Pelodiscus sinensis: one gene and its partner. The main gene of each other region encodes a partner of the protein of the gene in region 2 in a complex. Links are inferred from orthologs where the notes say so. Each region holds a gene or a part of one and is shown on either strand. Other genes may lie near its edges.

Region 1 (3,747 bases), on a different chromosome or scaffold from region 2:
CAAGCCGGGACTTAAAAACCTCTAGGGATGCAGCATCTACCACCTTCCTAGGTAACCCATTCCAGTGCTTCACCACTCTCCTAGGCTGTCTCTACACTGGCATGATTTTGCGCAAATACTTTTAACGGAAAAGTTTTTCCGTTAAAAGTATTTGCTCAAGAGAGCATCTACACTGGCATATGCCTAGGGTTAGGGTTAGGGAAAGCATCCGTGCCAGTGTAGACGCTTTCCTGTGCAAGAAAGCTCCAATGGCCATTTTAGCCATCAGGCTTTCTTGCGCAAAAAATCAAGTTGGCTGTCTACACTGGCCCTCTTGTGCAAGAATACTTGCACAAGAGGGCTTATCCCTGAGTGGAGCGTTGGAGTTTTTGCACAAGAAGCACTGATTTTGTACATTACAAAGTCAGCGTTCTTGTGCAAATACTGCCCAGTGTAGCTAGGCGCCAAGATTTTGCGCAAAAGCAATTGCTTTTGCGCAAAATCATGCCAGTCTAGATGCAGCCCTAGTGAAATAGTTTTTGCTAATATCCACCCTAGACCTCCCCCACTGCAACTTGAAACCATTGCTCCTCATTTTGCCATCTGTCACTACTGAGAAAAGCCTCTCTCCCTCCTCTTTGGAACCTCGTCAGGTAGTTAAAAAGCTGCTATCAAATCCCCCCTCAGTCTTCTCTTCTGTAGACTAAATAAACCCAAATCCCTCAGCCTCTCCCTATAGGTCATGTGCTCCAGCCCCCTAATCATTTTGGTTGCCCTCCAGTGGACTCTCTCCAATGTGTCCACATCCTTTCTGTAGTAAGGGGCCCAGAACTGGACACAATACTCCAGGGTTACGTCTACTCTATAGCCTCTTGCACAAAAACGTATGCAAATGAGGCAAAGGGTGGAATATCGCCACGCCTCGTTAATGAGGCTCGATTTTTGCACAACAGGCTTTTGTGCAAAAAGGAGCCATGTAGGCTACTGTGCAAAAAACCGAGCCTCATTAATTATGCAAATGAGGTGTGGCGATATTCCATGCTTCACCTCATTTGCATATATTTTTGCGCAAGAGGCTATAGTGTAGCCATAGCCCAAATGTGGCTTCATCAGTGTTGAATAAAGGGGAATAATTACTACTTTGGATCTGCTGGAAATGCTTCTCCTAATGCACACCAGTATACCATTAGCCTTTTTGGCTACAAGGGCACAATGCACTCCCCCCACCCCACCCATCTTGAAGCACGAATAACAGCCCCCAAATACATGAGTCCCAGCATCAGCCCCTGCTCTCTAAAAATGGTTCCAGCAGCCCAGGTGAGCGCTGCGTGACCCCCGCCCGGACAGCACGGACCTCGCCTTGCCCCATCTCTGCGGCAGCGGGCCAGGCCTGCGCTAGGGAGCCGGGGGCTGCTCGCCCGCTGGACGGCCGGCGCAGAGCGCTCGTGGGAGGACTGCCCCTTCCCTCCCCGCCCTCTCCAGCCGTGGGGCAGCCCCCGTCCCTCCCCCACACCCCCCCCCAGCCCGTCTCCAGGCAACCGCGGCGGGCAGCGTCACTTCCTCCCTCTTGCGGCCTCCCCGGCCCTGGGGCTCGGATTGTTGTGGCCGGGCCGCCCGGGACACGTGGTGCCGCAGGCAGCCGCCGCCGGAGAAGCCCGGCTCGCTGGCCGGCCGGCCGCGGGGAGCGCGGGCAGCAGCATGGCCGCTCTGGCAGAGGCGGTGAGCAGCAGCGCCGGGGTCCCGGCGGCAGGCGGCAGCAGCCGGCACGAGAAGAGCCTGGGGCTGCTCACGACCAAGTTCGTGTCGCTGCTGCAGGAGGCCAAAGACGGCGTGCTGGACCTGAAAGCGGTGCGTGGCCGGCCGGGCCGGGGGGGAAGTCCCGGACGACTTGGGGGGGGGGCTCACCTGTCCGGGGGGCGTGAGGAGGTTGGCGGGGGCGGAGCGGTGAAGGGGCTGGGGGAGGCCGGACCTGTGTAGCTTGCTGGTCTGGTGCGTGGGAGGGTCCTTGCATGGGTGGGCCCACCTGTAAGGGGGGTATGTGGAAGGGAAGTCCCTGTGTGTGGTAGATCTGGGTGGTCTTTGTAGTGGAGATGTACATCATTGGAGGGCTTATGTTTTGGGGGTAGGGAGTCTGAAGCTTGTCTCTGTGTCGGGATTGAACGCGAAAAACGCTTGGGGATCTGACGCCCAGAGAGTGTACGAGTTTTTCTCATGGACACATTCTATTTCCTATAGCCATGCAACTATGACTTTCCCCCTTCGCTTTCCAAAGAGAAACTAAAAAGTGTGTTAAGACGCCTTTTTCAGTAACAATGGGCTATAGTCGGCAGGGACTGAATCAAAAACAGGATCCTCTCCCAAGGGACAGGGGTGAGGGCATGAATTTTTTTTTCCTTTCCTGTTCTTCTGTAGGTTTGGGGCTGGCTTGTATTGTTGCTGAGTTGCCTGCATGTTGTCCACTTTTTCATTGGTATGTAGCATCTCTTAGTGGCATGGTAGTGTAGTAATAGTGATGATTGATATTTAAAGCTGCAAGATTCCTACATAGAAAAGCAAAGAAAATTTGAAGAATGAAAATTAAGGCTCAGGTTTAATTTTTATTACTTCTTTCACTACATCCTGGCAGGTTTTCTAGATTTAAGTCAGCAACTGGTTTCTTATACATTTTGCTATCTGAGTAGTTAAGTATGAGTAGAAAATTGTGGCAAACTTTGTTAGAGCAGTCTGTAGTGAATAACTAACTAGTACTGTAATGACCAGTCAATCAAACTAAACATCTGTTTAGCTCAGTAGCTACTGTAAAGTAGTTACAGATTTCTCTATTAAGAAAAGTAGAAACCAAGTGGCATACCATAGCTATGTTTTCAGGGAGTTAGCTAGCCCCACAGAACAGATGTGAAAGTGTAACCATGTACATGGCTAACTTGTCCCTTAAAGTTCATGGTTCCACACGGGGCTTGGTATGTCTGGGGAGCTGGCTTAAAAACCGGCTACCAGTGTGCACCAACTCCCAGGGAGCTACCAGCCCCCTCTGTCTCCCTCCCCTCTCCTGCTGTGACTGCATCTGATACAGATGGAGCAGCTGAGGGTGGGGGAGGTCAGGTGGGGGGGAGAGGTAGGCAGGAGCTGGTACATGTTTGGAGCCTGCTTAAAAGTTGTCTCCCCGCACACACTAGCTCTTGGGGAGCCACCTCCTGCTCCATGTGTGCGCACATTTTGACATCTCTAGTCTACACTACTAGGGGAAGATCACTCTAAGTTATACAACTTCAGATACGTGAATAATGTTACGGAAGGCAACATACTTATATCTACTTAATGTTGACAGGATATGCTCTCAAGGTATGTCTACACAGCAAGGCTAAAGTTGAATCAAGCTATGCAACTTCAGCTATGTCAATTGTGTAGCTTAAGTCGAAATAGCTTAATTTGGCTTTTGGCGCTGTCTACACAACAGCAAGTCGAAGGAAGAACAACACTTCCTTCGACTTCCCTTACTCCTCATGAAATGAGGGTTTATTGTGAATCAGAGTAAGAAATCCTCCAGCTTGACATTATTTCAAAATAAAGGCTTGTAGTATAGACACTCACTGTGTTGTTTCAGAATAATGTGAGTTATTCCGAAATAATAATGCTGTATAGACGTATCTTCATTGACTCCCCTTGCAGTTCTTGTTGAATTGGCATACCGGAGTTGAAGCTAAGGTGATCAGTGATCGATTTATCATATCTTTAGTAGCCTCAATAAATCGACCCTTTTGGATCAAT
Region 2 (3,747 bases):
CCTTTAACTCACTGAAGCTGGAAGTCCCCTGCTGACCCCAGGCTCCACACAGCATTTCCCCAGAACCCGGACTCAGCTGGGGAGTCCCCTGCTGATCCATGGTTCTGCTGAAAGCTACAAAGAACCAGGGTCCTCTGGGGAGCCCCCCTGCTGACCAAGGCTTTGAAATGAACAAGGACCCTCATTGGGGACTCTTGTACATTTCAAAGCAAGCACACCTGTGTGCAGCCAGGAGTCCACTGGCCCCAGGCTGTACCTGGAGTTCCGCATTCCTCCTTTGAAATGTACAAGAGCTCCAGCAGGGTCAATTAACCACATTTTAACATTCCTGTGACAAACATAAAAGTTTCACTGACAAATGTACCCGGGTGGACAATTTTTAAAAATGCTGTGTTTTTCAGAGAACATGCAAAACATTACTATGCAAAAGTTAGAGTACCAGAGTACTTTATTAGCAATGTAACATCTAAATACAGAAGTCTCATGATAGTAAATGAGGACTGTTAATCATAAACTAATCTGTTCACTAACTTAAATACATGCTAGTATTTTTTCTGATGAAGAGGTATTAAAAATGGGAGCTATAAGAATAGATGGCTCAATAAACAGACCCTCTTATTATCACCCACTTCTATGTTAGTGGCTTGAATCGGATAGGTTGAAGCAATTATTTCCTCCCCACATAGTCTAATTGCTACTGACTTTAACTAGGTTCCTTTTGTCTGTTTCAGAAGAAAGGCAAAAATAAGCATAGAGACTGAAAGAACCTCTTATCCTTAAACATGTGATATTTCCTAAACATAGTTTAACAGCAGGTCAACACTGAGTGGCATTTCTAGTGTACCTGTTCTATCAACAAGCAGGTAACTTAATGAAAGGTACTTCACTGACAATGCTCAGATTGAACAATACTTTAATTACCCAGCACAATAGTGAAAACTGCTTTTCACAATCTCTATTACAAGTATGCAAAATGCCTGCATCAAATGCTTTTCAGCAAGATGGTGGCTTTTTGTTTTGTTGCACAGAACAAATGTGCATATTGTGTAAAACGTTAAGCCTTTTTGTAATACAAAAGCTAGTAAGTCTATTCTAAACTTTCTATGTGAAAACAGATACACTGCAAACCCATTTTAAATAAGAGACAAAAAGGAGGTCTTCATTTCCCCTAATGCCAGTTGTGGTATGTATGGCCTGCTCTGTCTTAAGCACATGGAAATATTCTATCACTCATGTTCCCAGATAATACAAAACAAATATACTTACATCTTTTGCCATGTTACCAATGCTTAGAAATCAAGTCTCTTAAATGACTGACACCCACAGAAGGAAACAGGGACTGTGATATTTTCTACAAAGAAAGTCAAGACAACACTAGCTGTAACAGTGAACTGCAAAAGTCCATCATTTATTAACTGCATGCAGACATTCCTCTACTTTAGAGCATGGTCTCGTAATATTTAAAAAGTTTTCTGGCATCAACAACTTACTCTGGGAGAAAGGCCTCACAATCCCCCCAGAGAAAGGACCCTCCCTTCAGCTCGCACCCTAGCCCCAAGGCCTTCCTCATCCCAAACATACACGGAGGAGCCCAGCAGGCGGCCTGGACTGGCAGCCTAAGCCCACAGTGGGTCGGCCACAGTCCAGCTCTTCCCCTTCCCCGCAACACCATCCCACAGGCGAGGCCGGAGGCCCCTATGCCGGACCTGTCAGCTTCCCCACAATACTAGGCCCCTGGGGCCAGTCCCCTGACAGCCCCGGCGGGCGCAGCCAGATGGGCCGCTGGTGCGTGGGGAGGCCGGGGCGCCTCAGAGGCTCTTCACAGATTGGCAGCCCCACCAGCCCCTCACCCGGGGCCCCACCAGCCCGCCCAAGCTAGCGAGTGGGCGCGCGAGGCGCTGGGCTCGGCTGCCACAGGAGAAGCACCATCCCCCAGTATGGGGAACCCCCCCCCCGGGTAAATCCCGCGCCCCCTCCCCACGTCCCGCCCAAACCCATCCCCCGGTGCGGCAGCGCCTCCCACACGCCGAACGGTGCCTGCACCTGAGCGGCCGCCGGCGGAGAGCAGGCTCCCTGCGTCCCCCGCCCGCTCCCACACAGCGCCGCTCTGCGGAGACACGGCGGCGGGAGGGGGGGGGGGGCGCCGACTGCACATGTGCAGCTCGCGGGCCTCCAAACGGGGGGGAGGGTAAGAGAGAAGGCAGGGCTGTCAACGGCGCCAGCCCCCAATCAGGGGATCCCGCCCCTCCCCCCTTGTCAGCCTCACTCTTCTCTGCCCCCCGACTCTCCCTCCCTTCCATCCTCCCTCTTGGGGTCCCTCTGCTGCGCCCCCTGCTCCTTGCACACCTGCGCAGGCTCCCCCCTCCTCGCGGAGGGCTCCCTGTGTGGGGGCGGGGGGGCGCAGCCGCCCCTCCCCAGCTTCAGCACGCGGATGCGGCCCTGGAAAAAAAATTTCCGTTGGCAGAAAAAAAAATTGAAACTTACACTTTTGTACGTCCCACCGGCGTGACGCTGCGCGCTGACGTCATGAGGTGTAACGTGCCTCGCATAGGGCCCACGCGGAGAGATTAGTGGCCCCTCCACACCGTCCCTCCGTGTGGCGCGCATGCGCGGGGATTTCGCGCCCAGGGATTCCCCACCCCTTTTGGAAAAAGAGCGCGCGGGAAGCCTGGGCGCGAGACTTGGCGGTTAGTCAGTCAGAACCAGGCAGCCGTTGCGCTCTGGCACGTGGTGTCACTCGAGGGGGTGGCCTGCGTCAGCGCTGAGCTACTTACCACCCACCTGTCGATGTCAAGCGAGGGGAGAAGGGTACCGTGCCCCGCCTCTGCTGACTAAAGCTGGGCGCTAGCCCATGTCCCCTCCAGCTCTGGCGGGGAGAAGGACTTTGCCTAGGTCCTGGGGCTTCAGGTGGCTTAGCAGGACCTAGCCCTGATTGACCTCGCAGAACATTTTCCTTCTCGCGCCATAATGATTGCAGGGCACAGCACGCTGTCAAAACAAATCCTCAGGGTGTTGGTTTCAGCTGTGGGCTCTGCACCCAGCAACAGCATTTTAGAAACTAGCCCTAACCAACCCCTGAGTAATGCTGATGGTGCGTCCTCATCACTGCCTCGCCATTATCAGGGCTGCAGCACTTACAATGCCCCATTTTAAACATGCCATTTTAAAATAGTTTAATTAGAGGGCAAACTGGCTCCTCTGCAAGTTCTGCTGCTTGCTGCAGAAAAGAGTGAGAAACTGTAATACTCATGACAGCTAAGGCAGAATTGTACTTCATAGTATTTTTTGTAGCATAGAGATAGTTTGTGGTCTTTTAAGATTTTCCTTTTTCATCCCCACTATGCTAGATTTTTAAAATTTAGATGTACTGTGATTGCATCAAGGTCAGGATACACTAAACTGACCTTTGTACTAAATGGAACATTTTTTAAATCCAGAAGAATGAAACAGTAACTGTAGAAAAGTGAGCTTTTACTCAAAACCACTTTCAGAGATGGAAAACTGTTAGGTGAAGACTTTTCTTTGAAAAGTGTTTTCAGATATTTGTGAAAAAGGGAGGCAGCTATTATTGAAGCAGCACGTGATATCTTAAATGGAAAGAGAAAAATATGATACTGATTTTTTTAACTGATTTGCCCCTTACAAAGGAAGAATAGGTAAGGGAAAATGTTTGGAGCCTGGGAAAAGTGACCTAGCTCCAGGGGATTTTAGACCATTCAGTGCAGAAATTGTGGATGGAGCATGAAA

Evidence for each region. Proteins that work in one complex are often made in the same cells at the same time.
Region 1: the proteins of TFDP1 (region 2) and E2F5 are in contact, whole or in part, in a crystal structure (PDB 5TUV), measured with the Homo sapiens proteins. The link is inferred for Pelodiscus sinensis from reciprocal best matches to the Homo sapiens genes TFDP1 and E2F5. Residues at the interface, in NP_009042.1 of Homo sapiens: Glu201, Cys202, Leu205, Glu208, Arg209, Arg212, Leu213, Arg215, Ile216, Lys219, Gln220, Leu223, Leu226, Ile227, Gln230, Phe233, Leu236, Val237, Arg239, Asn240, Arg241, Arg249, Pro253, Ser255, Val256, Ile257, His258, Leu259, Pro260, Phe261; in NP_001942.2 of Homo sapiens: Val126, Arg129, Leu130, Lys134, Glu136, Ile137, Leu140, Glu141, Glu144, Leu147, Asp148, Gln150, Lys151, Leu154, Gln155, Ser157, Ile158, Val161, Met162, Ile166, Asn167, Asn168, Arg169, Phe170, Ser171, Tyr172, Val173, Thr174, His175, Asp177.

What each region holds. Positions count from the first base shown.
Region 1 is NC_134712.1:46,268,634-46,272,380, reverse strand, and holds the start of E2F5 (transcription factor E2F5), read left to right. Parts: upstream 1-1,512; 5' UTR 1,513-1,677; coding exon 1,678-1,827; intron 1,828-3,747.
Region 2 is NC_134711.1:237,052,305-237,056,051, forward strand, and holds the start of TFDP1 (transcription factor Dp-1), read right to left. Parts: upstream 2,630-3,747; 5' UTR 2,485-2,629; exon of another isoform or gene 2,347-2,484; intron 2,187-2,346; exon of another isoform or gene 2,044-2,186; intron 1,731-2,043; exon of another isoform or gene 1,707-1,730; intron 1,352-1,706; 5' UTR 1,279-1,351; coding exon 1,267-1,278; intron 1-1,266. UniProt on the Homo sapiens protein: Can stimulate E2F-dependent transcription.